Linked DNA regions of Cricetulus griseus. The protein of the gene in region 1 interacts with the protein of each later gene in a pairwise test. Links are inferred from orthologs where the notes say so. Each region holds a gene or a part of one and is shown in the gene's direction. Other genes may lie near its edges. The genes, in order: Abi3, Nup58, Kiaa0408 and Eif3h.

Region 1 (7,643 bases):
ACCTGAGGTCCTTCCTCTCCATCCTTCTGTCTGTCTGACACAGTGTATGACTTGGGACAGTTTATCTGCACTCTGTCCTTGGTTCCCTCTGCTCCATTAAGAATGACAGGTTAAGTCTGCAGCCCCTTACCCCTGGCCAAAATGTGTGACAACACCAGGTTCCTCATCCTATATTAAGGGGACTTGAGAGGAAAAGGGAGCAACTGTCTGTGGGAAATGGCAGACCAAAGAGGAGCAATGACAGCAAAGTTCTCTCTGTACCTTCCCACAGCCTCTTTTTTGTCCCTACACCAGTGGTGAGAGGTGAGCACCATTTACACTTCACAGCGAAGAAGCTGATATTCGGAAAGGGTTAAACTGGGATTCAAACTCAGAATTCTAGTTGGTTGTAGTGGCCATATCTGTGATCCCAGCACTTGTGGGGATATAGGAGGGGGACCGCCAAAAGTTTAAAACCTGCCTTATAGTCTCTATGTGAGTTCAAGCCAGTCAGGATTACACAGCAAGACACTAAAACAACACAGAGACCAAAACAACAAATCAAAACCCCAAGCAAAAAAGCAGGCAGAATTCTGACTTAGAGCCCAATCACTGACCCTTCAGACCACAGTGCTGCCTTGCCTGTCATTCTGGTGGGTGTGATGAGTGATCAGCCTGGAGACAGATGATCTGGAATGTGGCTTTTGAACCAGCTCTCTCCCACTACTAGCTCTTGGGCATGCTTCCCTGGCAGGGATGGAAGCAGCTCTTTCCCGCACCTGAAAGCGCTTCTGGTGGGTCCAATCCCATGTATGCAATTGGTGTGCACATGGGATCTGAAGCCAAAAGCTGAGTCCCCAGGTCTACCATCTACTGACTTAGGAATCTATGGTGAGATTCCCATTGGTCTTTCTCTCCTTCCTAAGATCTTCCTTCCTTCTTTCTCTCTTTCTTCCTTTCTTCCTATCCTGACATTGTCACTCTGCAGCTCAGGCTGGTCTTGAATTCATGACCTGTCTGCTTCAGTTCCAGAAGGCTGGGATTCCAGGCCTGAACCATCATTTGGGAGATGGGAGGAGTTCCTCTTAGAAGCTATACCTTCTCCAAGGTGATTATAAGTATTGACTGGAACAGTGTGCTGAAGCATTTGCCCAGGGCCCATCATCCTGTAAGGAGGGCAGGATAAATGTAGCTATAACTGCTGCTGTTACCATGTCAGTAGTGCCGTGGTGATGGAACTCCCTCTGTTGAGGTGACAGCTTTTGCAAACATACTCAGGGTATAAGAAACCCTGACCCAGGTTGGAAATCCCTGGGTTCCTTTGTGCAGAGTGCTGGCTCCTAGACCATGCAATCAATAACCATCCCTGCCTGTCATAAGAGGATAGTTTCGGGTGGTGTCTTTCATACGGTCTCCATCCCATCCTTCGCCCACTAACCAGGTGTCAGAAGCCCATGGGGAACAGCAGCAGGCAGATGGGTCAAGTGTATGGTTCTCAGCCAAGGTTGACTGAGTATACAAACAGGGTGATTTGCATGATGAACAAGCAGCTTCATTGAAGGTTCCCTGACCCTTGTTTCTCCAGCCTGACTGTGGGCCAAGATCAAAGTTAGAGGTTAGAAACAGCCAGGCTGGAGGTACCCAGAGCTAAGCCCAAGCAGATATTTCTTGTTTGGGTTGCTATGTCCATGTGCTGGGCTGGGGAGGGAACTGTCCAGAAGCAGAGAGAGACTTGGAATTAAATAAATAATAAACAAATTAATTCCATTAAATAAAGACCCGGAACAAAGCCTGTAGTCCTTTCTACTTTCTTTGCCTGTTCAAGGCTTTGGGTGGCATATGCTGATGAATGTAAATTTTATTGCATATGCAGATAACATGTAAATAGGCACACACATGAGCATCGCTTTCCTGCTGTTAGAACAGAAAAGTAGGAGGTCCATGACATGGGTTTTCCAGAAGGTTCTAGTTCAGGCTACAAGAGAGGAATCCAGATCCTACTGAGGAGACAGCCCTGATAGTTCCAGCCACAGGTCCTATGGAGCACACGAAGTTCCAAGCCAGGAAACCATCAGTGAACTTGCCTCTTCATATTTGCCTCATCTCTGCCTGCCCCCCCCACCCCCACCCCCACCCCTGAAAGGGACAGGCTTCAGTGCAGCAAGCTTGTGATTGATGGGGAAGGAGGAAGCTGTTTGGGGAAGCAAGACACCCAAGAAGGTTTACCCAGCCCCCAAGTCTGGTCTGGAACCAAAAAAAGTTCTTTTGTCTTTAGACATTCTCTGGGCATCCCTTTTCCCCTGACTGGCAGTGTGGCACTGGCCAGTGTCTGGTGTGCGGTAGGAAGCTGCCCAGCCGGTGTTGGGTTCCCCTTCGACCTGTCCATCAGCCAACAAAAGGATATTTATTTATTTATTTATTTATTTAAGATCTTCTGTGTGCTGGGGACTATGTCAGCTTAGGATGCAGGACAGAATGGCCCAGCTCTCTGTTTTCATGGTACTTATGTTTGACTGCTGGGAGGTGAGGTGAAGGAAAACAAAGAACAGAGAAAGTATGATAATAACAGTGAGCTGGGTAAAAGCTTAGGAAGCGGAGAAGCTGGAATCATCTAGAAAAAATAACAACGCTAAGAACAAGCACCAGGTGTCTGAGGTAGATCCAACCCAGCAGTTGTTAGGGAACAGAACTCCAGTGGTCAGTGTGGCTGGAGAGAAGCAAGGGGTGTGTGTGGAAGGGGAAGGTGGTATTTAAAGCCAACTGGGGTGGCACATATCTGTAATCCTAGCATTTAGGAGCCAGAGGCAGGAGAATCAGGAGTTCAAGGCCAGCCTTGGTTACACAGAGAGACTGAGGCCTATTCTACATGAAACCCTGTCAGGAGGGGGAAAAGAGGCGTATTAGAAAGTTGTCAGAGGGAACGAGAGAAGGAAGTCACTTGATGCTGGGACACAGTGATCTCATGTAAGTTCCCACACACCTGCAGGCAGATTGGGGCTAAAGAAGTTCAAGGTCAGCCGGGGGTTTTCTCCCAACCTCAGTCAGAGGGATCTTTGGTTCGCAGGGTTAGGGTAAGGGTGTGATATTGGTTGGTTGGTTTTTAAATTTAGTTGTCTCCTCAGGCCAGCATCACTTCCCCTCTTGCTTTCTACTCCTCACCATCCAGCCTGCAGAGACACACTTGCTGAGGAAGGCAGTAGGGTCTGGTCCTCTCAACTTAGTCCTTGCCTCCACTATTGGAGGAGAGGACTCCTCCCCAGTCTCCACAGCCAGTTCTCTCAGGCTGCAGACTTGTTTTCTTAATGTCCCCTCTAACCCTCATACTACAACATCATCCTTCCGGAAGCTACCTCCAGCATCTAAGGATGGCAGCATTCTCCAAGTTCAGCTCCTGCCTCCTGTAGATTCTCTTCTGGTCCCACTGGACCTTGCCTAGGAAGCAGTGGAATGTGCTGGCCTCAGGCCAAGGCTGTGTGTATTTCAGGCCACAGACAAGCGGAAGGCATTAGAAGAGACCATGGCTTTCACCACCCAGGCCCTGGCCAGTGTGGCCTACCAAGTGGGTAACCTGGCTGGACATACTCTTCGAATGCTGGACCTACAGGGTGCTGCCCTGCGGCAGGTAGAAGCCAAGATCAGCACACTGAGCCAGGTAAGGGTGTGGGAAGGGACCCCTTCCAGCCCCAGCTCTTCAGTCCTACTCAAATATTGGCTACAACAAGAGTTTCTTGTATTTCTCCATGTCCGGGTTATCAATTTGACTACAGAATGCTGGTACCTTCTGAACTTTGGATACCTCCATCATGGCTCCCCAAGTCTTAGTGTGACTCTCACTACCCCATTAGAAGCAAAGTTCTCTGAAAGCAGCCTCTCTCTCTCTCTCTCTCTCTCTCTCTCTCTCTCTCTCTCTCTCTCTCTCCTCTTCCCCTTCTCTTGAGTGTTGCTATGGATATCTAAAAGCTTTGTCTGCCTGTCACAGAACCTGCACAATTGAAATACAGGCAATGATTAATAAGTGTCCTCCACTCAGGCTAGGCAAGCCCATCTTCAGCCCCCGAGTCGTCCCTGCTACCAACTTACAGAGTCCCTACCATTGGCTCATAAATACCCTCAGGCTTCCTTCCTGGGTTCTTGACCCCACAAGGCACATGTTACAATTAGCAAAGTTTAAATTTTGGTCTGACCCTAAGGCCCCAATGGGCCAGGGTACGGAGTGTGTCTTCCTCTTTCCCCTGGAGATCCAAGGTCCCAGCCCTCAAGGACTGAGGGAAACAAGAGGAAGCTAATTCACATATTGGTGACCCTAAAGGGGAAAGCTGACTTGGTTACAATTCTCTGTCACCTCCACACTATGCCCCTCTGCTCCAAAGGCTGCCCTGTCCTTCAATCTCTTCCCAGCATCCCCAGGGATGTTGTTTTTCCCTTTTCTTCTGTTTCCTGCACAGCTAATAATAACCCTCATTCTCTTCTACCAGGAAGTTGCTCCAAAGTGGCTCCATCCTTTCCTGCTACTCTTTTCCCAATTGCTGTATGGCCAAGGGGACAAAACTCACTTTCTCTGGATTTCCCTGCTTTCCATGGCTATTCTTTCCTCCACCCTTCTTTATTTTGAGGTAGCGTTTCACTATGTAGTCCTGGGTGGCCTAGAACTCATCATCATCTAGACCAATTTGGCCTCGAACTCACAGAGATCTACCTGCCTCTGCCTCCTGAACACTCTCTCTCTCTCTCTCTCTCTCTCTCTCTCTCTCTCTCTCTCTCTCTCTGTGTGTGTGTGTGTCTTTCGTTTTTCAAGACAGGGTCTCTCTGTAACTTTGGAGCCTGTCCTGGAACTCACTCTGCAGAGCAGGTTGGCCTGTGCGCCACCACTGCCTGGTTTCTCCCTCTCTTAAAGGGAGTGGTGTTGGACAGGCTGTGCCTCACTGTCACCTCCCAACCCTCTCATGCAGATGGTGAACATGCACATGGAAAAGGTGGCCAGAAGGGAGATTGGCACCTTAGCTACTGTCATGCGGCTGCCCCCTAGCCAGAAGGTCATCCCTCCTGAGAGTCTACCTCCCCTCACGCCGTACTACAGAAAACCCCTCAACTTCAGCTGCTTGGATGACATTGGCCATGGAATCAAGGTAACGGGAGCTTTGCTTGTCCCCTTACTGCCATGTCGTTGCTGCCACCCTCTCCTGCCATGTCGCTCCCTCCTATCTTACTTCTTTGTGAGCTCTTCCTCTCTTAGGCTTCCATGGCTAGGAGCCATGGCCTAAGCTCCTCACTGTCCCAAGGTCCCCAGCTGCCCTCTGCCCTGTACTCACTCTGCTTCTAAAGATCACATGCTGTCCCTGCCCCCCACCCATGGGTACTGGGTGTGTGTGTGTGTGTGTGTGTGTGTGTGAAGGGGAAGGGGGAAGGGAGGGTGTCAGGACACGCATGAGAACCACTTCTTAGCCACATGAGAACAGCAACTTCCTCTGTCTGGGCGTTTGAGGTCACGGCTCTAAGAAGTCACTCCAGAATGCTGGTGGTAGAGACAGGAGGCAGCAACAGAAAGCAGACTTGCTGGAGAGGATATAATCTCATTTTGCCACCACTGCTCCATATCATATTAGATTAGATTTCCTGTATCTTAACCCCTCGATTTTATGCCAGTCCCCGGAAGGGAGAACAAGACTTCTCTTCAGTTCCCAGGTCCCCATGAGTTCTTCCTGTTGTCCAACGTTCTTAGATTTTGTTTTTCCTTGGACAGTGCTGTGGATGGAACCCAGGTCTCCTGTAAGCTCAGCACAAGCTCTGCCTCTGAACTACATGCTCAGCCTCCAGCCTATCCTTTATGCCTCAAGTTCCCTTTCTTGTCTCTAGTGAGGCAGGGTGACAGAGAACCTGGGCCCCAGATGCTCATCCTGGGGAAGTCCCGAAGTTAGAGGTGTATCTTGCATTGGGGGTTGCTTTCTATCATGGAATCTCCTAGGTGCCTTGGGTTCTGCCATCCCTCTGCCTTGAATTTGGGGAGGACAGTTGCATAGGTTTATGGAAATGAGTGAGACAGTTCTGTGTCTCCCCTCTCCATTCCTGTCTTCCTCTCTTGTTGGAGTAGACATCAAATTAGAGTTAAGGACCACCAAGTCACCCAGGTCCTTTCCTATTTAAGATAGTGTGGGCGTGCAAAGGCCCACTCAGTCACTGTGGCTATGCAGAGGAAGAGGTTCTCAGACGAGCTGCCGGCTTCTTTCGGGGAACCTTTGTGGGACCTGCTGCAGACTTAAGACCCTGTGGCTCAGGCAAAGACACCCGCGTATGGGGTGGGGGTAGGGCGGGAGGAGGGCTGGGAAGTGGAAGTAGGAACTTGCTGAGTCTGGCTAGTCCTCCCAGTTCTCCGTGTTCGTCCCTTCCCCAATTCCTCTTAGGGGTGAGGGTGAGGATTGCTCCCCTTATGTCAGATGTCAACTCTATCCCCTCCCTCCAGGACTTGAGCACGCAGCTGTCGCGGACTGGGACGCTGTCTCGCAAGAGCATCAAGGCGCCTGCTACACCTGCCTCCTCCGCGCTGGGGTGAGGCCTCAAGGCCATTCCTACCAGCCCTGCCCAGCTCCTTGGGGTTCTCAACTGCTTCCCTACCCCTTGCCAGCAGCACCTGGTGCCTTGGTATCCCTGAGCCTGGGGCCGATTCTCCCTCCACAAGCCATCCTTCCTAAACCCCAGTTCTGCTCAGCAGAGGCCCCTCCCTCCTTATGCCACCCTTACTCCACTCCCAGGAGACCACCCCGGATCCCCGAGCCCGTGCAGCTCCCAGCCGTGCCCGACGGCAAACTCTCCGCTGCCTCCTCTGCCTCTTCCTTGGCCTCGGCGGGGTGAGCGCTTGAGTCTAGTGGGTGGGTAGACAGTAGCTGGATTTTTAGAGGGCGGCCTCCTATCAGACATCTGGGGTTGAGAAAACTAAGGTGGGAAAAACTCAGGGTGGGAAAAATAATTTGAGGCCAGATTTTTGGGTTGGAGGGACCCTTTGGGGACGCTAAGTTACAAGGCTTCTCTCACGTGTGTGTGCTCCCTCTGGTCTTTAGCAGTGTCGAAGGTGCCAGTGGGACCCCCCAGGCAGCACTTGCAACCTCGCCTCCTCCACCTCCGGCACCTGCAACCCCGCCTCCTCCACCTCCGGCACCTGCAAACCCCCCTCCTCCACCTCCCGCACCTGCAACCCCGCCTCCTCCACCTCCGGCACCTGCAACCCCGCCTCCTCCGCCAGTCTCTGCGGAGGTCTTCTTACCACCTCCTCCGCTAGAGGTGTCCCAGCCCCCTCCAGGTACTTAGTGCCCAACCCCCTCCACCCACACCTTGAGACTCCCATCCGTTCTTTTGGGCTCCAGCCCTGTGCTCCTCAGGAACCCCCGGGGAAATCAAGTGAACCGAGCCTATTTTTACACTAGCCCCGCGTTTGAAGCTTCTCATTTAAAGTTAACTTTGCCAGGACCTTTATAGGCATAATCCACCTGCCTAAGGGTTGCTCAGCAGTGTCTGCCTACCCTGTACTGAGTTCTCCCAAGCACCACCAATAGGCTGGAGGCTGGTTAGATCCTAGGGACAGTGCCACCTATCCCATGCACATACATGTAGTTTTTTTTCTTCCTCCCCAACAGCAGAGTTGCCTTTGCCCCCTCCTCCAGCTCTAGAGGGGG
Region 2 (7,643 bases), on another chromosome or scaffold:
GTGAATAAACACTAGTTCATGTCTCCTAAAGAAAAGTTTATGCCAATACCAAGATGCTGCTAAAGTAACTGAGCTAATACTGAGAGTAGATGAGAGATTGCAGAGACTGACAGATTAAGAGGTTGCTTTAGAGGTGGCCTAAACTGAAGTTTTTGAGGGTGCCAGTAATCCAGCAATATTTTTTGAAACAAAGAAGCTGGTGGTAGTTAGGGTTAGATTCATATACCTGTGGTTGAAATGATAAAAATGGAGAGACCAGTGGAGGAAGCAGCAACAGAACTGGCCTGAACGGAGGAAGAGATCTACAGGCAGGAAAGGAGGAGTGAGAAGAGAGCTTGGTGCTGACAGAAACGGGGGTCCGGGAAGAAGAGGATTTTCAGGAGTACCAAATGATACTTGGGTAGTTTGTGACAGGAGGGACTACTTTTCTGTTGAGAGCAAAGAGAGTTTTGGGGAATAAGTGCTATTACAGGTAAGTCTGGGGATGGAATTGCAATTGCCATTGTGTTTGTATTCTTTTTCTTTGGGTTTTTTTTTTGTTTGTTTGTTTTTGTTTTTGTTTTTATATAGAGTCTCACTATGTCTCTCAGGCTGTCCTGGAAATCACTATATAGACCAGGCTGGTCTAGAACTCACAGAGATCTGCCTACCTATGCCTCCGGAGGGCTGGGATCAAAGGCGAGTGCCACCACACCCATCTTGCATTTCTTTTTCTTAACCCAAAGGATCATCTTTTTTATATTTTTACCATGATTTAGTCCCAACTTAAGTATTTTCTTTCACTTCTACAAATCCTTTTATCCCATTTATGATAAAGGATTATAGACATAAGGATACTAATTAAAACCAGCATAATATCTGTATGATTAAGATAAAATGATTTTTTTTTTTTTTTAAACAGGAACACCAGCTACTACATCTGCATCTACAACAGGCTTCAGTTTAGGATTCAGTAAACCTGCAGCCTCTGCTACACCATTTGCCCTGCCTGGCACGTCTACCTCAGCTAGTGGTCTCACTCTGTCGTCTGCTCTGACATCCACGCCAGCAGGTGAGACAGAATGGGAAGAAAATTGAATGTGATGCTTACATTGAAATTTTATCCAGTTAGAGAACATCAGTGGCCATTTATATTAAATAGAATACCAGGCTGGGAGATGGTGCAGTGGGTAAAGCATTTGCTATTGTTATTATAAGGATTTGTTGTACAAGAATAAAAAACTCTAAAACTCAACTATACTTTGGGAATTTTTTTATTTGAATTAGTTGGCAATTTTGTCTTTTTGAACTATTGGCTTAGTAGTTCACACCTATGATTTGGGAGGATGCCTCAGGAAGATCTTGAGTTCAAGGCAAGGCTTGGCTATGTAACAAGACTTTATTTGGGAAAAAGATAGCATTGGCCATTAAAGCAGTTTGGCCATCTTGAAATATGGCCTCTGTTCAGAATAAAGAGGATCAGAGTGGTGAAATACACAGATGTTTTTTATCTTATTTGTTGTCAAGAGACTTTATGGCAGGATGTATAAAGACATTTGTAAATTCACCTGGCTCAGGATTCATTTGCTTTTAAAGGCAGAAATATTGTCTGGGATACAAACTATATTGTCTAGAATCAGTTATTGGGTGCCATTGGAATAGTGCCCAAAGCTATTTTGTTGAATGAAGGGACAAAGGGGAGGAACCCCAGTTACTGTCTTGAAGTTGCCGTTCTGCTTTATTCTGAGTATTTTCAAAGTTTTCTTGAGCAAGTGGTTTCCCCAAAGGTTTAGATGTGTCAATGGGATTCTATTTTTGAGAATGTCCTATTTTCCTGTAGTGTTAAGTGCTATATGAAGGCTTATTCATCTCTCTCTTTCTTTCACTCTCAGCATCCACAGGATTTACTTTAAATAATTTGGGAACAACACCAGCCACAACAACAACAGCATCAACCGGGCTTTCTTTAGGGGGGGCCTTAGCTGGCTTGGGAGGTTCACTTTTCCAGAGTGCAAACACAGCAGCATCGGGTAATTGATAATATTTTTTTTTTCCAGAATAGTAAATGCTTGCATTTAAATTTACTTTAATTTAACTTGTTAAAAAGGACACGTTTTTAGACAATATTTTTCTTTCAGTATGAAAACCAAAATAATAATTTTCCTTTGTAAGTGGACATTTTAGCCATACTTCAGAATATGTTGTCATTTTTCCTCAATGGGCCTATTTAAGGAAAGATTCAGAAAGCTTCCACCAAAATTTGTCTTTTAAATAAATGTCAGTTAAGTTGTCTTGGCAGAGGATGTAGCTTGGTGATAAAATTTGCTTAGTTGGAGTTACAAGGGAGCTTTACATCCAAATACGTATTATAGCCAGGTAAATCTGGCTTCCCAGTATGGTTTTCATTCTGGAAGATAGGAGAGGGTGTTCTGAGAATTATTTGAAGACACTGTGTAATTATTTCACATAAGAGTGTAATTTCAGGAGTTTCTGGTTAACGGTTGGCCAACTAGGAGAGTTTATGTGTATTTAAATTGTAAAAAACCACAGTATTCTGAGGCTGATTTATAGTAGCTTTTTTCCTTTGGCTGAAATAGGTGAAAAAGCATGGCTGATGCCTTCTACCAAAGAAACTAGTAATTTTTTTGTCTTCTATTGAGGTATTAAATGAATGGAAAATATTCAGGTGATTGTAAAGGAAGAAAGAGTTGGGTCACGGGGACCTGTAGAAATCTGTAGTGTTCACGGAGTACCTTCCAGTGACTAGATACAAATGACTGCATCATGCTTACTTGTAGGATAAGCGTGTAAACATGTCTCACAGATTCCTGTAATACCAAAATGAAAATACAGTACAAAGGAGAATCAGGAGATCATTTTATAACTTCCCAGTGCTTTGGGTTTGCTTTTCTTATTGCTGTAACCAAATACATTATGAAGGCAGCTTGAGCTTCTTCTATGCAGGGCATATAGCAGAGGTTAAGGCATGGCAGGTGGGCAGTGCTGCCTGTGGTGGTAAGAGCTTGCATCTTCCTGGCTTGTTCACATCTGCACAGGATCAGGAAGCAGAGCATTCTCAGCAAATCTGCACCACTTCTTAGACTCTTGACATAATACTCAATGCTTACTTTATGCCTGTGCTAACCTAAAGGTGCCATTGACTTGAAAAAGAAACAGGTAGAGTATCACTTCCATGAAATGCTTGGAGCCAGAGTTTTATATATTGGTACATTCAGATTGTAGGTTGGGGTTACTTAGCATAATTTTTATTTAACTATTCTTTTAGTCATTGCCACAATTTAAATCTAGTTTTCAGTTATCACATCACATTTTCTCTGCTTTTAAAACAGGTAACATCTTGTCTAACTACCAGGCATACTAGTTTAGGAATGCATTGGTTTGTAGGAAAATAGGTTTGTCAACACAAAATCTGGTTGCCTTCTAAGTATAATTACTATGATTACTGCCTTTTTTTGCCAGTGAGGTGAGATTTAAATAAGAAAATAAAGGCTATTTACTTTTTAAGTAAACTTTTTTTTATTTTAATATCCTTTTGGGGATGTGTATTTAGTATTTAACATTTAAGGTATATCACACTCACATCTTATGAATTCACACTAGATTATTTTAAAATTGTGCAGTTCCAAAATATTAAACAGCAAGATGTATTCACCTGAAAATATATCATGTGAAATAAATTTTGTAGAAAAAAATTTAAAAATAAATAAAAATTCAATGTTTACCTATATCAAATTAGATATAGTTGAGCCCTTTTATAGTGAGAGATTCCAACTTCCAAACTAAATATATCATTGAATCCAATGAGATATTATCAATATTTACCCAAATTATTTATTACAGATTTGTTTCATGTTAATGTCCTAAAACAGGTAGTAGGAAAATCTGTGGTCTTCAAAGTATTGAGTGCGTTGCCAGTAAAGGGGAATTCTTTTAAAATTAGGAAAGTTGATAAATGGTATTTGGCTTATTTACAGGTCTCGGACAAAATGCTTTAAGCTTGTCTTTGGGAACAACAGCACCTGCTTCAACTGCATGCAATGAAGGCCTTGGTGGTATAGATTTTAGTACATCCTCAGATAAAAAGAGTAAGTGAAGTTATCTCAATTTCATGTGGTAATGGCATTAGGAAGAAGCTTATAGGTTACTCAAAATTCCTGCTTGAAAGATCACTAGCTATGTATTTATTAGGACCTTTAAATTTGTTTGTATTGTCTATCATTAATATTCACAAATTTGAGCATAATATATTGGCTTTTTTAAATACCTTAAATTTGTGTGTGTATATGTCTTACATAGCTTTATTAATGTTTATATTAATGCTTATTTTTAAATCAGAATCATGATCTGTATGTTTGTAATCTACTCTTACTTGACTAACATTGGACATTCTTGTTTATGTCAGTAATTAGTTGATATTTTTTAATTATAAAGAGAGGAATAAGAGAAAAGCACAACTTTATTTCTCTTCTTTCCTGTTCCTCCACAGCCCTACTCTTATACTGTGTCTGAGCTAGAGTAGAGCAAAGATTATGTGAGAATAAGTACCATGTACCACCTTCTGTTTCCCTTAATTGGTGATTGTCAGGATTCTTCTGTTAAATCACAGATGTTTTTCCACGTTCTCTAGTGTGTGTGTGTGTGTGTGTGTGTGTTGGAGGATGAAAGTGCTCAGAGTTCAGAAAAAGGATCATATTTAGATTCTCTGGAGCTAGATTTGAACAGCGGCTGTGAACCACTGCCACAGGTGCTAGTAACCTAACTGGAATCCGGCGTAAGAGCTGTCTGTGGTCATTTTCTTGATTGGTGACTGATATGGGAGTGGGAGGGCCCAGCAGTACCGCCACTGAGCTGGTGGTCCTGGGTTATATAAAGTAACTATTCCCCCCCATCGATAGGGGTGTTTTATCATAACAATAGAAGCCTAACTAAGACACCACTGATCCATATCTCCAGCCCCAGAATGTCACTTTTTATCAAGTAGCTATAGCAGTTAGCTCTGGCCCTATATCTATGAGATTTAGCCAGATGGAAGGAGAGTAATAGATAATAAAGAAGAGGCAATATGGATTAAGGCTTTGCCCTTCTGAAGAGGTCAGATAGACACAGCTTCCTTCCAGAGTTATGAAGGGCTTTTTATACCACATTGTTTTGTAATTAAACTGGAGGGTTTTGATGAGATTTGTTTTAAGATTTAAGAACATTTATTACTGTTCATTATAGCCAAGAGATAGAACCAGCTTAGCTAGTTCACCAGTGGGATGAATGGATGAAAGGAAAAGATGGCATATTCACAGTACAATTGGGTTCAGTTGCATAAGATGAAATGATGATACTTGAAGAAAAATAGATGGTCCTGGAGATTATGATAAGCAGATAACCCAGGCATTACTTGTTTCTCTCCTCCTCCTCCTCTCTTGTGGTGTGTGTGGAGGGGGGAAGCTGGGGGTGGTTATGATGTGAGAAAGAGGACTGAAATCTAAAGAAATAGGGGAGCAGGAACTAAAGATAATCAAATGTGTGTGGCATGAAAGCAGGAGTGGGAAATGTTTGAGGGGAAGAAAGGTACCATTAGATAAGATGGGTAGTGAACAAATAAAGCAAGTTTAGTGATATGTGTGTATGGAAAAACAAAAGGGGGAAATGGAGGGTAAAAGGATGAAAAACATTTAGATGGCTGTGTGGAAATCAGCAAGCCAAAGAATGCAAGAGTAGCATAGGAAGTGTTTGTAAGAATATTATTACTGAGGCAGAGGGTGGATTGATAGGGTGCATGGTAATGTAGCCCATTTTACAAATTGTATATAGAGAATTGTAGCTCAAAAGTAAAGTATCAAAGAAATACTACATGGCTTAATCACTATTGTATTGCTGTGTTAAAACACTGACCAAGGCAGCATATAGAAGAGTTTATTTGGCTTACAGTTCCAGAGGGGTAATAGTGCACGATAATAGCAGAGATGGTAGGTGGCAGGCCTCTGGAGCAGTACTTGCGAGCCCGTATCAGGAACAGCAAGCAGGAAGTGTAGAGAACAAACTGGGATTGGAATGTGGCTATTGAAAACTGAGTCAGCCCCTGGTGACACACTTCTTCAGCAAGACTACACATCCTAATCCTACCCAAACAGCACCATAAACTGGGGTCCAAGTATTCAAATTCCCTAGATTATCAGGGCATCTCATTCAAACCACCATAGTATATCAGTTTTAAGAAAATGAGCTATTTGGCTTAAAAAAAATTAAACCCTTGGTTTTATTACTTTCTCATCAAATCTTAGATTTAATTTTAGAAATAGATGAATGAAATGTAATATGTTTCATGTTGAGTAACTTAACAGTATGAACAGTACCTCAGGGAAAATGGACCGATCACAGGAGTGAGCAGTTTAAAAATGTAGAAAACATTTTTTTACATAATGCACATTTTTTTTTTTTTTTTTTGGTTTTCTGAGACAGGGTTTCTCTGGAAACCTGGAGGCTGTCCTGGAACTAGCTCTTGTAGACCAGGCTGGTCTCGAACTCACAGAGATCCGTCTGCCTCTGCCTCCCGAGTGCCATAATGCACATTTTAAGAAAATGTTTTACCTCACTACTGCTGTAAGAAAAGTTTGAATGATAGTAGATTGGCATTTTAAGTATGATGTCCTTTGTTGAGGGTGAGATACATTTTATGCCTGTGGCAGATGAAAATGTACATGGAGACAGTCAGTTGTCTTAAATGATTGACAGAATGTTTTATGGATTGTTAGGTTAGAGAAGTTAGGGCATCAGTACTGGTGATGGTGGTATCTAGAGTTAGACAGTGACATAAACTGTTCATACAAAAAGACCAAGTTGTTTCTTCTTGAGGGAAGTAGATGCAACTGAACTCTGTAATGTGTTTGCTTGGTGTCAGATCTCCATCGTTATGCTGTGTTCTTCCTGCAGTTCATGATAGGGAAAAATCATATTGCATGATGTCGAAATACTTTGTATTTTGTTTAATTTCTGTTCATTTAGAACTTGGTATGTGTTACTGTGTTGTTGAATGACCTATTTTACATGAATCATCTTGAATTTTCTAGGTGATAAAACAGGAACAAGGCCAGAGTAAGTTTAAAATTTAACTTTAAATATTGTAATTACATTTTCTTTACTAAATTGTTGGCAGATTGTATAGATAGAAGTAAATTATAACCAGGTATACATTTAGAAGGCAAAAATTAGTGTTTGCCAAAAATGATAAATACATGTTCTGGAAAACCTCTGAAATATCAATCTTTGATTACTAGTTATGAGAAAATTTAAAACCATTTCTTTTGGAAAAGGTGTTGACATTCCTCAAATAATACAAATACTTGAGTTTTAGCCTTCTCTGTGCTGAGTTTTGAGCCCAGGGCTTTGTGCTTGCTAAGTGTGAGCTCTACTACTGAGTTATTCCTGCAGTGCTTACACTATCAGTTTTACATACACCAATTACTATTCCAGGACCATTTTACTCCCTGTGTCTTCATCCAAGGTAATAGGTTCCATATGCATTATATGCATGCTTGGAATATGATCACCTTTTTACTCGCCAGTCACTGTGATCATTTTTCTTGCCAATTACCCACTTAGTTTGTGTTCTGTTAAGTGAATCATTTGTGAGGACATAGGACTCCTCACAA
Region 3 (7,186 bases), on another chromosome or scaffold:
GTAGAGGACATCAGATTTATTCTGGCAATGTGTTAATAGGAAATGAATTTTTTAAATGACATATCATGGCTCTGACACAGTCAATAATTTTATTCTCATTAATCACCCCCTAGTCATCCTCGACTTTTGCATGAAATGTTCCTTCAGACATTTACTTTAGTGTGCCTTCGAGCTTGCTCCAACTGAAATTTATGTATATTAATTTTGCTATATTTCATTCAATAAATAATATTGAATTTTTTGGTTTCTTCAACTTAACAAGACAGTTATTTAACAGATTCCCGGGCCTTATTTTTTTTCTTTAGCAGACAAGCAAAGTAAGTGCTTTGTATGTTTACAGTGCAACCATGCTTCTTTCTGATTAACAGAAAACAAATAGGTTGTGAGTAAAATACACAAGTGGTATGCCATAATGGAAAATAAAGGATGGGGGTATTAAATCCTTCCTCTAGGGAATAATAAAGGTGAGACATCTGTGATTAATGATTCCAAAATAAATCTACTTTTACTACTACATTTGAAAAACATATTGTACTAGCGTCCTTCACTTCCCTTATCCAAGGGCTTTCCTACCTGTGATTAAAACAGCATAGTTGAGAGTATATTTATAAAAATGTGCTACATATACTGCCCATAGGTAATATCTCAATGCCAGCACTGTGTGTCTTCTTCTGGTTATATACATATGGACTACAGTGTACAAAGCTAAGATAAAAATACTGAGAAAACCACAAGGGGGGTGCTTGGAAATTGTATGGTTCAAACATAGTGAAGTATTTTTTCTTTAGCAAATATGTTGTTTAACAAGTACAGTACGTGTGTTTAAAGTTACTAGGCTCTAGTATTAAATTCTTTCAGGATATTGAGCCATGTGCTAGAAAGACGCAGACTCCAGAGTGTGCATCTGTAACATTGGTGATTTTAAGTAATAATACAATTGAGTGAAAGCATCCAGTATGAAGATGGTCCTGTATCTCTGCTGAGTCCCTCTCCGCATTCATTACAATTGCTATTGAAAATCCAAGGCATATGTACTCAGACAATTTGAAACCTGGAATAATTCCCTATGAACTATGATCATGTATAACTTAGCTGATAGAAATCTTGAAATTTTTTTGTTCCCTTGCAGTCTTTTCTGCTTGTGTCATTTGGTCATTCAGCTATTGAACAGGAAAAATTTCCTATACCAAAGAAAAAGTTTTCCATTTGTTACAGTGTACTAGTACTAGTTTCAGGGGGTGGGGGGCAGAATTCTTGCTGCTGCTGTTTTAATTTCTCAACTAAGTTGAGTTTTGGGAAGCTATAATGGCATAAAATTACATATAAGTTAAATTATACCAAACCAAAAACTGAAGGATTAGATGAATACATGAAAAGGAATTGTATATAATACACAGGAGTGGGTCTTTCTAGAACCCAATATAGTTAACATGCAAAATGAAAAGCCATGAGTTGTGAATAGCACAATTTCCCCTGGGTCTAAAAATATAGCAATTTTCTTTTTAATTCAGGAAATTTTTTGTTTTGTTCTGTTTTGAGACACGGTTTCTCTGTGTAACAGCCTTGATGGTCCTGAAACTTGCTTTGTAGACCTGGCTGGACTCGAACTCACAGAGATTCTCCTGCCTCTGCCTCCTGAGTGCTGGGATTAAAGGTGAGTGCCACCATGCCAAGTCTATTCAGGAATTCTTAAAAATGGGAAAACACTGCCAACAATATCCTTAAATTTAACAGGGGACTTTGGGGGTTGTTCCTTATATCATTCATGTTGAAGAACAATTCAATACAATTAATTTTGTAGGCATCAAAACAATCAATTTATTGCTGTAGTTTGGAAATGAGTGATTAAAATCTTTATCAATATTGGGGAACTAAAAGCACCATGTATCCTTAATGTATTAGTTATGTATACTCTCTCAACTGGAATTATGTATAAATATTGAGTATGTTATTACATTTATTACCTTAGTGAAATATAAAGGTATTTGCTTTAAAGTTATTTGATGGTCTGTTTTGAAATATGATAGGCTTTTGCAAGATGTAAGCAAATCTCAGGAAAACACTGCTTCCTTCTTCACTTTGGGAGTAAGCTGATGGAGTATCTGCTGATTTCACTAAGGCAGCCTCCTTAAGAAATAATTTGGGATTGTCTTTTACTGAGGCGATAGATAGTCCAATTTTTAAAGTTCTGGCTTATCAGGTAGAACATTGATGCAATCATTTTAATATGAGTAAAAACAACTTGTTAAAAGAATGTGTATCATTGTGGCATTAAAAATATCACTATAATATCTACCCCTTGATAAAGTAGTTGACCAACCAAGGAAATGATTAATAAGGGATTACTTAGAGGAAAGAATATGCTGATTTACTATATGATATTGTCAGCTATTTAGACAGTTTAGATCTTATGTTGTTACATAAGATCGTATGTTTAAAATATATGACTATTAATGTTAAACTTTTGTTATATTAGAAAGTGGTTATAGAGAATAGAGAGTGATTGATTTGGGTCAGTGTAATTTTGTGATTGTGCTTCTGCATTCTGTATAGATCCAGATTTAATTTATTTTTTTAATGAGTTGATTTCTCATCAGAAAAACAGAATGTGGTATCCATGCATTGCCCTACTAAAACTAGTCTTTACGGTTCACCAAAACTGTCCTATCTCATTCCTGTTTTAGAGGCACTATCTATATGCACAAGCATTAATACCCATGGTAGTATGTAGTAATATTGCAAAAAGGACTTGAAATGATTTGCTTAGTATCCAAGAATATTGAACAAAGTTAGGCATAGTAGCACATGCCTTTATTACTAGTATTCAAAGTCAGAGGCAAGTAGATACTGGGGAGCATGAGGCCATTCCGGTCTTCACAATGGGTTCCATATCAGGACTATGTAATAAAACTCTGCTTATGAAAATTTATTGATCATAAAAGAGAAAGAGAAAATATATTGATCAAGAAAATTAGGAAAAGTAAATTTTTAATTTTTATTTCCTACAGCTTTGCCAGGAAGTAAAGCTGAGGAGGAAAATGAACATGAATGAACATTCTAAGGTCATTGCTCTTGATCGTGATCAAGATAAAATGGAATTTCCTCCAAATCACCCCAATTCAGGACAATGTGAATTTAGAGTGATGAATCACCGAGATGATCTGGACAAGGACAACAAGCTAGAAAGGGACTTCCTCAGAGAAGGAAACCAAGCTTATAAAAACCAAAACACGCCCACAGGAAACAAAGTCGGGTTTCTGAATCCTTTGGCCACAGAAGAGGAGGCACATGAGGAGGCTGGCATGAGGACTTCTAAGGAGGAGAGTAAAGATTGTTCTGTCGCCCTTAACACAGTAAGTAAGACCAGATCAGCCAGGAAGTGTTTCTAAAGAAGTGCTTGCACTTCCGAGTGCTAACAACGCCTCTCTTTTTATGTGTTATGGGTGTGAAGGCTCTTGAAGAACTTGCAAAAGTGAGTGAAGAATTATGCACCTTTCAAGAGGAAATCCGAAAGCGCCCTAACCACAGAAGGTAGGCTGGCACACGTGTGACCATTGTAAACCAGAAAATTCAAAAGAATTCTTTTCACAGTCAGTGAATCTAAACTGCCTCATCATGTATATCTTATTTCATGGATTCTTAAAAGCAATCTTCTAATATGTTTCACAATTTAAATATTAGGACTATTATATTCTTTGCGTGTTTAATTAAGGTGGACTCTGTAATAAATGTATCTGTTAAGGGAAGATCAAAGAATATAACAAAATTTATTTTATGAAATTCTCAAAAAAATAACCCGTAAACCATTAAAAAGTGAAGATTTTGTCGTCATCCCAATGCCCTCTAGAAAGCGCTTCAGAGCCTCAATATATGGTTTAACATTGATCTAAGATTTGGCATGCCTTAGTATTTCTGTGTCCCTCACTCTGCTTTAAATCCATCCAGGGCACTCTTCATTCCCTCAATGGGCACACCTTGTTAGAGCCTGTTTGTTTGTATTCCCTTTCTTTGATTCATGAAATATAATCTTAGTTTCCTTTCAAATTCAAATGAGACTTTCCACTTGGGGTTTCCTAGTGCTCATGACACTTCATTCAGACTAACACTGTTCCCAGGGTTATTTACAATGCAAGGAGAAAAAGGAAGACCGAATAGGAATTATGAATAGTGAATAGGAATTGCATAGGAAAGAGAGGGAAAGGATATGGCAGGAGAAAATCTGTAGAAATGGGAGGGGCAAGAGCAGAAACTCAAGAGACTACATTGTCTAGTTAGAATCTAGCATGAGCTTTCATGTTAGCGAATGACTCTGACTAAAATTTGGGTTAAATCCATGAATGTAACCCTGAAGACTTCATCCTACAATAAAGCAATAAAGAGGATTTGTAATAAGTGGATTTAGAATATGAACATATACACACATATATACACATACTTATGTATCACATTATTTATATATATATATATATATATATATATGTACACACACATATAAAAGTATACACACACAATGTTTCAGCAAATTGTGACTTATAGCTGAAATGTATTTTTTAAACTATGGCTTCCCTTAAAAGCTCATTTTGAAAAAAATTGTCATTGACATACCTTGTTTTATAATTATTTAGGATGAAGTCAGATTCTGTTCTCCGGGAAATGCCAAATGCAATCAGTGCACCTCATGGGGACCACTTTATCAGTAATAGCCAGGGCATTCTTCCAACCAATTTGGAGAAAGAAAAACAGAAAAAGAATCAGAGCTGGGCCAACAGATTCCAAAACAATTCAATGAAAAACTGTGGAACTGGTGTAATTGACTTACAAAGAAGTGAAATTCCACCAATTCCTCCTCCAAGAAGTACCTCTCGAAATTTCCCCAGCTCATACTCTGAACAAGCCCAAGAAAGACTGAAGGAAAGTTTATACCACAGGTGGGTGGCCAATGAGAGTCAAGACAAAAGGAACTGCAGTCCTCATTTTCTTTTGAGGCAGTCTCCATTGTTTCCACAAGAAGACAGAAGATTGAAAGATAGTACCATGGCTTCCTCTTTGATACCAGAAGTCAGAATAGATAGCAAGCCTCCAGGTAACGAAGACACTGGACTTAATATGTGGTCATGTGACACTTTTATAGGCACAAAGGAGAGCCCTTCTACACTGTCTCAAAAAATTGGTTTCACCCCCAATAAAGCAAAAGTTGAAAAGGTGATTCCAGAAAACCCTACTAAATCTCATCTTGATCTTCATGTGAAAAGTGACTTTCTTCACTCAGTGACACAGACAGACCCACGTAGAAGTTACAACTGCAATTTAGAAAGGACTCCAAGGAATGAAAAGCTGGCAGCAAAGATTGATGAATTTAACAGGACTGTATTTAGGACAGACAGAAGTTGTCAAGCAGTACAGCAAAGTCAAAGCTATTCAAAACCACCTGATAATCTCAATCTCTGTGACAGCTCTCCTGCTGATAAAGACGACGTATCAGAAAGTGACGATGGGACTAATGGCTTGAAAGCTAGTGACCACATACCTGTGCCCATGGAAAAAGTGTTCAGTAATTCCACACAAGTATCTGCAACTGGCCTGGTCAAACAAATGCAGGCATTCGTGAGTCCCAGCACCTATCAGCTCATGTTCCATGAGCATGATTGGAGACCAAGCAATTTTTCTAGCCGGCCAAAGTCAGCTGATCCCAGATCAAATTATCGTGTGGTGGAAAAGCTGCTGAAAACCTATGAGACAGAGACAGGGTCTGTCCAGCAAAACTCAAAATGCTTCAGGGATAACTGGACCAAATGCGGTTCTGATGTAAGTGGTGGTACCATGTGGGGCCGATGTTTAGAAGTGTATCAAATGGAACATTTACTTAGTGCAGGGATAACACAGCTGGGACATCAGGGACTACTTCCATCTTTAGCAATAGCTCTGAAATCAGTTCAGTTGCTAGATCATATAATTAGGGTGTAGACATATTTTGGTATCTTCTTACCTTCTTGGCCCTCTGTGAGGCATAACTTAATATGAATTGAGGGTACAGTTTTAAATACTTCAACTAGTGCATTATTTAAAAATAAGTCATATCAAGGACGCATGTGGTCACTCGTGCCTTTAATTGCAACACTCAGGAGGCAGAAGCAGGTGGAGCTCTGTGAGTTTGAGACCGGAATGGTTTTCAAAGTTGAGCTCCAGGTCATCTGGGACTGTATTGTGAGACCCTGCCTCAAAAATAAGTAAATAATAAATAAATAAGTAATATTGATATAATATGCTTTCAAGAACCTGGGGAAAGTTATTTGTTTCCTTCCTTTAAAATAAATCAGAATACATATCTGTTGACTTACAGAGTTTTACTCTAAAGCTTTATTATTTCAGTACATACAACATTTTTTAATAACTCCCACTTTCTCAATTATGATTGATTCAGACTTTCCCATTGTATGACTTGTGTCTCATAGGGTTAGTCACACAAATGTGTATGAAAGCAAAACAATTTCTTGTTTTAAATGTTCAAGTGTTTAAACATTTAAAACAAACAAAAAACAAACTCTTTTGTTTGTGCCACTAAAAGTCTACAAAATACAGCTAGCCATATATATTTTTACATAGAAATTAACAAAAATGGGTATTTAAATAATCATTTGCTCTTTTTTGTCCACTTAAAAGAGCACATCTTCATTAACTATAAAGGGAGAGGTCAAGCAAATTGGTATTTACTATGAAGACTTATACAAAATGCCCCTTTTTAATATGTAATTTAAATAATGTGACATTATATTAGCCAGCATTTCAAATAATTCCCTGGCTTTTATACTTCTCTGCATTTTAGTTGAAACCATAAATCTGTAGGTCCTATGACCAGAGACACACAAACACAAATATAACCAACAAATTTCTCATGAACTAAGAATAGATGCTGAATGTTTCCTCTTTTTCATTGTTTAGCGATTTGGGAGGTATTTTAAAACCCCTGTGAATTAAATTTAAGTATCCAAAGAGACAATAAAATATGAGGCTATTGCTTGGGTCTGAGGGAAATAGTAGCACCTGAGTCTGTCCTCACTGCCTGTCTCAGATGCAAGAGCATCAGCTTTATTAGGAAGGCCAGTTGCAGGCTTGCAAGAGGTGGAGAGATGCATGAGCAGTTAGGAGCACTTGTTGCTCTTCCAGAGGGTCTGAGTTCCCTTCCCAG
Region 4 (8,112 bases), on another chromosome or scaffold:
ATCTTGTCCCTTTCCCCTTGTCCGGGGGACCATGCATGTCTCTCTTAGAGTCCTCCTCGTTTCCTAGCTTCTCTGGCAGTGTGGATTGTAGGCTGGTAATCCTTTACTCTATGTGTAAAATCCATATATGAGTGAGTACATAGCATGTTTGTTTTTTGTGTAGGCCATTCTGACCTGCCTGGAACTCCTCATCCTGCCTTCATTTCCCAGGTTCTACACACCTGATTCTGTAAGCATGCCGTATTAATTATCTCTCGCATTTCAACATATTTCTTTGTAAAGCTTATTTGTCCCTTCTCTAGGTGTTATATTTAAGCTTAATTCAGGTAACTGGTTTAAATATTTATAATATACATTTTACTTATAATAGGCAATTTTAAAAAATTTTGCTTTAACTTAAAATATTTTAGAAATCTTGAAAGATGAGAAAAATCTAGTTTTACTTTTTGCGTTTTTAATTATTATGCTATTTTTGTCCTTCATCAAAGTCCAAAATTATTTACTCTTTTTTTTTTTCTTAGGCGGGAACTTCTTTTTTATTTATTATTTATTTATTTATTATTTTTAGGCAGGATCTTCTTAGACGACTTTTCTAAAATTGGTGACGGGGAGATAGGGGTTGAAGGAGGGAATTTGGGGACAGACAACCAAACCTGAAAGACATTTGAGGGGTGGTGTGGAAACCTATGGCAGTGGAAACTTCCTAAAATATATGAAGATGATCCTATTGAAATGCTCAAAAAATGAGGGACACAGAACCCCAGCTGGCCACCTTATGTTATCAAATGTAGTGTCCAGTACTATGACTGAGTTAGATCCAATTGAGTTGTCGGTCAAAGGGGTCCCATAAAAATCCTTAAACAACCCAGGCTGTTAACAAGACAATAGGCTGCTCTCCACAAAGTGACAGAAAGCTCCCACTGCCAAGGACAACACCCACACAACTCATTGAACATGGAGAAGTCCGAGCTGGCACCTACATAGAATCTTCACCCCTCCATTCTTGTGTCTTTGGTACAAGAAGGTACTCTGCAGGCTACCAAAAGATAAATGTGACCACCAACCCAGCCACAATACCTTTGATCCTCAGTGCTGTCCTGCCTGCAAACCTGCTGGGCAATGGTGGCACAAACCTTGTGGGAGTAGTCAACCAATGTCTGATTTGACTCAAGTCCTAGTCCAAGAGATGGGACTCACACCCAACACGGCTTGGGTGACCAGGAACCAGAGATTAGATAGACCAAAGAGACCAAAGAGACTAGGATAAAACCAAGCATTGTTGGTCTTAAAAGAGAAAGTAGAGATAAAATAAATCCTAATGATATTCTTCTATATTCATAGATGAGTGCCTTAGTCAGTCATCATGAGAGAAGCTGCCTCCTGCAGATGAGAACAAATACAGAGACCCACAGTCCACACACACACACACACACACACACACACACACACACACACACACAGAGAGAGAGAGAGAGAGAGAGAGAGAGAGAGAGAGAGAGAGAGAGAGAGACAGAGACAGAGACCTTGGAACACACAACTTCAAAAGGGATGTCTCTATCAAATCCCTCCCCTCAGAATTCAGCCCCCCCCCCCCCGGAAGAGGAGGCAGAGAAAGGGTGAGAGTCACAGGGGATGGAGGACGTCAGAAGAAATCTCTAAATCAGCTGAGCAAAACTCCTATGTGCTGAGTATTGGATCACCTGCTATTGGCTTCCTCCGCCGCCGATGCAGTAAGCCAAATCAAACCAAATTTAGTAAACAGAGCAAAACTCAGGAAGGAGGAGAGAGAGAGAGAGAGAGAGAGAGAGAGAGAGAGAGAGAGAGAGAGAGAGAGACAGACACACAGAGAGATAGAAAGACAGAGTGTGTTCCAGGGAGGAGCTGGGATGGCAGGCTTTCTCAGGGGCGGGGTCTACAGTGGGTGGAGCGGGTCTGGGTGGAGTTTCCCAACAACAGGAATTCACAGAGACTGAAGCAGTTATCAGAGGACCTGAACAAGTCTGCACCAAGTCTATCGAGTATATATTATAGTGAAAGACCCCCAGACCCCTAAGGGCCTCAGGATCCCGAGGAGCCCCCAAGACTCAGAAACCAGACCAAAGGCTGCAAAAGCAAGAGGGTTTATTGAACAAGTGCGCATTCGGGTGTCAGCAATATCGGGGAAGCTGCACACGCCAGCCAGGGTTACAGGCTTCTTATATAGGAAAAAACCGCAGATCAGCATACAGGCAAGGGGCACAAAGTGATTGATTACAAAGTATGAACTCATGTTAGAGTGGTCACCAGGTGTGACCTGCTTTTTTATAAAGGAAAAACCATAGAACGTACCCTGAAAAGTCCTTGATTGTCTGTTGGCCAGGTGTGACCCAAAAAGGATTGTTTGTCTGCCCTCGGGTTGGGGCAAGGCCTGTGGAAAACTTTTTCTCTCTGTGAACTAAAATCTTTCAAAACCTTTTCTCTCAGCAAACTAAAATCTTTCAATAGCTTCCAGTTTAGTTTTTTTTTTTTTTCTTTTCTTTTCTTTCTCCAAGACAGAGTTTCTGTGTAACAGCCCTAGATGTCGTGTAACCCACTCTGGCCTGGAACTCACAGAAATCCTCCTGCCTCTGCCTCCCGAGTGCTGGGATTAAAGGTGTGCACCACCATCACCCGGCCGTTTCTTCCTACTTTTTTTTTTTTTTGGAGCCTATCCTGGAACTAGCTCTTGTAGGCCAGGCTGGTCTCGAACTCACAGAGATCCTCCTGCCTCTGCCTCCCCAGTGCTGGGACTAAAGGTGTGCGCCCCGCCGCTGCCGCCGCCACCACCACCACCACCACCACCACCACCTGGCCTACCCTGCAGGCTCGACTCCCATTTAATTCTTTGTGAGGGTTTTATTTTTGCATTTTACATCCCTGCTACTGATTGGTAGTGTCACTCCTCTATGACCCACCTTGTGGAGATTTTCTCTGTGGTCCAGGAGATGGTCTACTTTGTTCATATTTCTTATAGACTTGAAAAATCGGTCGTTGAATCATTAGTAACACTTGGGGTGTAACAGTTTCTGTTGTCTGTATGATATATAACAGACCCTAAGTACTAGCAACAACGAAATCAAAACATCAGGGTACAGTATGGTTTGCCACGGTGTGAGCATTGCATGACTCCCGAATAGTGAGTGAAGTCCATGCTCATTGCAAACATAAGGCGAAAAGTCACTTGGGAGCAGGGATTGCTTAACATGGCTTGCTGCACAACCGATGCAGTGGTTTGCAGACCTGATACCATGTAGGTCCCGCGTGTCACAGGCCAGCACGGTTTGCAGGGCATGTATTCTGAATGCTCACCATTGCATCAACGTGAACGCTCCAACGGCCCATAAAAGAACCCCTTTGGGGGCTGGAGAGATGGCTCAGAGGTTAAGAGCACTGGCTGCCCTTCCAGAGGTCTTGAGTTCAATTCCCAGCGACCACATGTTGGCTCCCAACCATCTGCAACGAGATCTGGTGCCCTCTAATGTTGTATACATAATAAATAAAATCTTTTTTTTTTTTTTTAAAGAACTCCTTTGGTATTTTACTCAAGCGAAGCATCGGTCCTGGAGACCGCAGCAAGGTTAAGCACGGTCTAAGTACTTTCCGTGCGTTCCCTGGGGTTAGAGACTGCACAATCTGAAACGTCACAAGGCCAGCGAGCGGCCCCAGGAGCTTGTCACTAGTTAGCAAGCGCTGTGGCTTGCCTCACGCCTCCTTGAAAGCTGGTGGGAGGAGTGGGAATTAAACTAGCAGCGGGAAGCACTTTTGCACCGGCCCCGCCGCCCGAGTGCGCGCTCTGTCGCTGCAGCGGCCGCGCGTTTAGCGGAGCGAGTGCAAGCGCACGCTGGCCCGGGAAGGATCCGGGCAGGCACGCAACGCGCATGCGCGGGGCTATCCCCGCCCTCAGGAAGCACGGGGAGGGGGCGTGGCCGCACCCTGGCCGCCCTTCCAGACCCAGACCCCCCCCCGTCCAGACGCCGTGGTTCCGCTTCCGGCGCCGCACGCTTCCCTCTCTTCCTGTCTGGCCGGGACCATGGCGTCGCGCAAGGAAGGCACCGGCCCCAGCGCCGCCTCGGCGGGCTCCGCGGGCTCCGCGGTGGGGAAGGGCAAAGGCAAAGGCGGCTCGGGGGACTCGGCCGTGAAGCAGGTGCAGATCGACGGCCTGGTGAGTGCGGGCGGCCCGGCTTCCGGCCGCTGTCCCCGCGAGGAGCAGCACCCTGGCCGGCGTCTGCACTGTGGCTCCAAAGGTTTCCACCGAGGGGGCCGGGGGCGAGCAGAGCCGGGGTGGGCGACACGTTGCATGCCCTGGAGAGCCGGTCCAAGCCGGTGACAGCTGCTGCGGCGAGCAGGAGGGTTCAGGGCCCTGCGAGGGGGAGAGAGAGAGAGAGAGACACCTCCGGAGGAGGCTTTATTTTAAACATTTATTTATTATGTATTATACAACATTCTGCTTCCCTCTATATCTGCACACCATCAGAGGGCACCAGATGTCGTTACAGATGGCTGGGAGCGACCGTGTGGGTGCTGGGAATCGAACTCAGGACCTCTGGAAGGGCAGCCGGTGCTCTGCACACCATTAAGGGCACCAGATGTCATTACAGATGGTTGTGAGCCGCCGTGTGGGTGCTGGGGATCGAACCCAGGACCTCTGGAAGGGCAGCCGGTGCTCTGCACACCATCAGAGGGCACCAGATGTCATTACAGATGGTTGGGAGCCGCCGTGTGGGTGCTGGGAATCGAACTCAGGACCTCTGGAAGGGCAGCCAGTGCTCTGCACACCATCAGAGGGCACCAGATGTCATTACAGATGGTTGGGAGCCGCCGTGTGGGTGCTGGGAATCGAACTCAGGACCTCTGGGAGGGCAGCCGGTGCTCTGCACACCATCAGAGGGCACCAGATGTCATTACAGATGGTTGTGAGCCGCCGTGTGGGTGCTGGGAATCGAACCCAGGACCTCTGGAAGGGCAGCCAGTGCTCTGCACACCATTAAGGGCACCAGATGTCATTACAGATGGTTGTGAGCCGCCGTGTGGGTGCTGGGGATCGAACCCAGGACCTCTGGAAGGGCAGCCGGTGCTCTGCACACCATCAGAGGGCACCAGATGTCATTACAGATGGTTGTGAGCCGCCGTGTGGGTGCTGGGAATCGAACTCAGGACCTCTGGAAGGGCAGCCAATGCTCCTAACACTCTGAGCCGTCTCTCCAGCCCTGTCACCCTCGCTTTGAGTAAGTAGTGCATCACTTCACCTGGGGCAGACCCTTAGGCAGTGCTCAGTCTGCACAGTAACAAGCCGCAGGGAATAAGCTTTTTAAGCTTTTAATAGGATATTTCTGGGTAAGGTTTATGCACCGGGGCATCTGGAAAGCTCGGGATAAGAAAACGCATGGGACGGAAGACGTGGGCATCTCAAATGATGTGGGTTTCCAAGCTTGAGGAGCATCCTCCAGCAGGTTGTGCTGGCACATGGCTTTACTTGGAGCACTGGTGAGGCGCAGGCCGCCTGGGTGAAAACCCTTTATGCTGGTGACTGGGTGTGAGCTTGTGAAACTGTCAGTCGTGGTTATGGTCGACTGTGATGTATCTGTGGACGCCAGAGTTTGCAGGATGCTCGGGAGAGCTCTGGAAAGGTTTATCTAATATTTAAATGTCCCCTGTATAAGGCAATGCTGTCTCCTTTGCTTCGCTTACAGTTTCAGCTTTCAGTGGCTTTTTTGAAGCAGGTGCCTTCAGGAATGAATACTACATTTTTAAAGATTGTCGGTTAGTTGGTGGGTGGTGGACTTGAATTGTAGAAGTACCAGCTAAACACTCCCGGAACGTGTTTTAAGTCTTAAGAACTAATGTTTTAGTGCACTTGCATATGCTTTGAAACCACTCTTTGGATTCCTTGGTTTCCAGAGTTGTAGAAGGCAACAGGTAGATATTATAAATCGGTAACTACAAATACATATTTTAGGACTTGGGCTGGGCTTGGTGGTACATACCTGTAATGCCAGCACCTGGGAGGGTGCAGCAGGATGCTAGGGAGTTGTTTGTCAGTCTGGGCTACATAGTGAGACTGTCAAAGAAGAGAAAGTAAAATACTTTCAGGGCAGTCTTGAAACTGCAGAGCTGTCATGGGACAGTGCCTTAAGAAATTTGAAGCAGCCGGGCGTTGGTGGTGCACGCCTTTAGTCCCAGCACTCGGGAGGCAGAGGCAGGCGGATCTCTGAGTTTGAGACCAGCCTGATCTCCAGATCGAGTGCCAGGATAGGCTCCAATGCTACACAGAGAAACCCTGTCTCGATTCCCCTCCCACCCCCCCCAAAAGAAATTTAAAGCAATAGGATTGCTGCAGGTGGAAACAGACAGGGTCATTTGAGTTCAGCAAGCAGGCAGTGGGCCTAGGAAAGTCAAGACACTTGTTTGGGATTTCTGTACTCACATACCACTGTTTTCTTTACTTGGAAACTGACTAATGCTCTTCTTAAGAGATTGGATTAAAAGTTTATAATTTACTATGAAGATAGACTTTTTAGTGGCAAAGGGCCTCTTTTAGTTATCAGGTTTCCTGGCAAGTCATACTGAGAATTAGAAGCTTATGAGTGAACCCAAGTGAGTCATCAAAAGGGACACTCAAGTCCTTAAGGGCCTTTACTTGCTGAGTCATCATGGTGGCCCTTAGTTCAAATCTTAATATCCCCTTTAAAGATATCTTGATTTTTTTGTTTGTTTGTTTTTCTCATTCATTCAAAAAATTCCAGATCGTAGCTCCCTTCATTAGATGTTTTTGGTGAATTTGGGGCCCATCAAGGTGTAGTTTTTGTGTTCAGGTTTGTTTCCTGTTCTTCCCACACTTTGTCTAGAAGGTATGTTTCAGTTACCTGTGACCCAGTTAGCCATTCCCTGGCTAGGTCCTGCAGCTCGTCTTCCTTTTGTCCATGACATTCCTCTTGACCGCCTTGTCATGTTCAGGGTTGCTGTGTGTGACTTAATAGAACTGTGGTTTTAATCTCTGGTTTAATTTGAATCTGTGTATTTCAGATATGTTCTGTGATTTAGTAAAATCGTGGATTACCTGTCTTTTTGTTCTTTTGAGAGAGGGTCTCTGTGTAGTTCTGACTATCATGGGACTAACTACATAGACCGGGCTGGCCTCGAACTCAGAATGATCCTCTTGCCTCTACCTAGTTAGTGACATCGAGCTCTGCCAGATGCTATGCATAAGGCATGGATGAGCTACTCAGATATTAATTTCATATTGATTATGGTTGCTTCTGGCATGTTGCTAGTGACTACAACCAGTTAGTATTATCCTTAGAAATATAAGCTCTTGGTCATATTGAAGGTTAGTTCATAAGAATGACTTGATGTATTTCAAATATATTTCTATAATAAATGTATTCTCATGGAATTTAGATGCCTTGAGTAGTTTACCTCTCTAGTTGTTTTTTGGTTATTTGTTTGTTTTGTTGTTTTGAGACAGGGTTTTTCTGTGTAGCTTTGGAGCCTGTTCTGAAACTCTTTGTAGACCAGAATAGCCTTGAACTCACAGAGATCTGCATGCCTCTGCCTCCCGAGTGCTGGGACTAAAGGCGTGCGCCACCATGCCCGGCTGCCACCCTTCATTCTGTCTTCCATTTGTACAGCTGCTTCCTGTGTTCTGTTTTATGCGGCAGATGCTGTTATAAATGCTTTGTGTGTAGGTGGTGTGGGCAGACTAGAGATCACCTTTGGAGTCATCATTCTCTACCTTAATGTTTCTCTTTATTTCTAAAAGTCTCATATATGCAAGAATGAATTTGATCCTATCTGCCTTCCTTTTGCCTCTTTTAACCCTCCCAAGTACTTCCAGCGTGTCCTCCTTCCAATTTCCAACTTAATGTTTCCTTCTTTCCTGCCTGCCTGCCTGCCTGCCTGCCTGCCTGCCTGCCTGCCTGCTGCCTGCCTTCCTTCCTTCTTCCTTCCTTCCTTCCTTCCTTCCTTCCTTCCTTCCTTCCTTCCTTCCTTGTGCCTCTTTTTCTTCTTCCTTTTCCTCTTTTTGGCTGAGATGCTGTTGGTGGTAATCTATACAAATTCCAGTTAGTCCTGCCTATATGGGTTTGGGGTCATCTG

Evidence for each region.
Region 2: the proteins of Abi3 (region 1) and Nup58 interact in binary tests that used the Homo sapiens proteins (3 or more experiments, as listed by UniProt). The two-hybrid records come from large-scale screens. The link is inferred for Cricetulus griseus from reciprocal best matches to the Homo sapiens genes ABI3 and NUP58.
Region 3: the proteins of Abi3 (region 1) and Kiaa0408 interact in binary tests that used the Homo sapiens proteins (3 or more experiments, as listed by UniProt). The two-hybrid records come from large-scale screens. The link is inferred for Cricetulus griseus from reciprocal best matches to the Homo sapiens genes ABI3 and KIAA0408.
Region 4: the proteins of Abi3 (region 1) and Eif3h interact in binary tests that used the Homo sapiens proteins (3 or more experiments, as listed by UniProt). The two-hybrid records come from large-scale screens. The link is inferred for Cricetulus griseus from reciprocal best matches to the Homo sapiens genes ABI3 and EIF3H.

Annotation. Positions count from the first base shown.
Region 1 is NC_048600.1:108,988,144-108,995,786, reverse strand, and holds part of Abi3 (ABI gene family member 3), read left to right. Parts: intron 1-3,463; coding exon 3,464-3,631; intron 3,632-4,928; coding exon 4,929-5,105; intron 5,106-6,436; coding exon 6,437-6,522; intron 6,523-6,725; coding exon 6,726-6,821; intron 6,822-7,031; coding exon 7,032-7,270; intron 7,271-7,604; coding exon 7,605-7,643. UniProt on the Homo sapiens protein: May inhibit tumor metastasis. In vitro, reduces cell motility.
Region 2 is NW_023276807.1:215,227,038-215,234,680, reverse strand, and holds part of Nup58 (nucleoporin p58/p45), read left to right. Parts: intron 1-901; coding exon 902-1,051; intron 1,052-1,871; coding exon 1,872-2,009; intron 2,010-3,974; coding exon 3,975-4,085; intron 4,086-7,061; coding exon 7,062-7,086; intron 7,087-7,643. UniProt on the Homo sapiens protein: Component of the nuclear pore complex, a complex required for the trafficking across the nuclear membrane.
Region 3 is NC_048595.1:247,810,596-247,817,781, forward strand, and holds part of Kiaa0408 (uncharacterized protein KIAA0408 homolog), read left to right. Parts: intron 1-3,008; coding exon 3,009-3,353; intron 3,354-3,451; coding exon 3,452-3,531; intron 3,532-4,625; coding exon 4,626-5,931; intron 5,932-7,186.
Region 4 is NC_048603.1:3,230,356-3,238,467, forward strand, and holds the start of Eif3h (eukaryotic translation initiation factor 3 subunit H), read left to right. Parts: upstream 1-3,994; 5' UTR 3,995-4,048; coding exon 4,049-4,180; intron 4,181-8,112.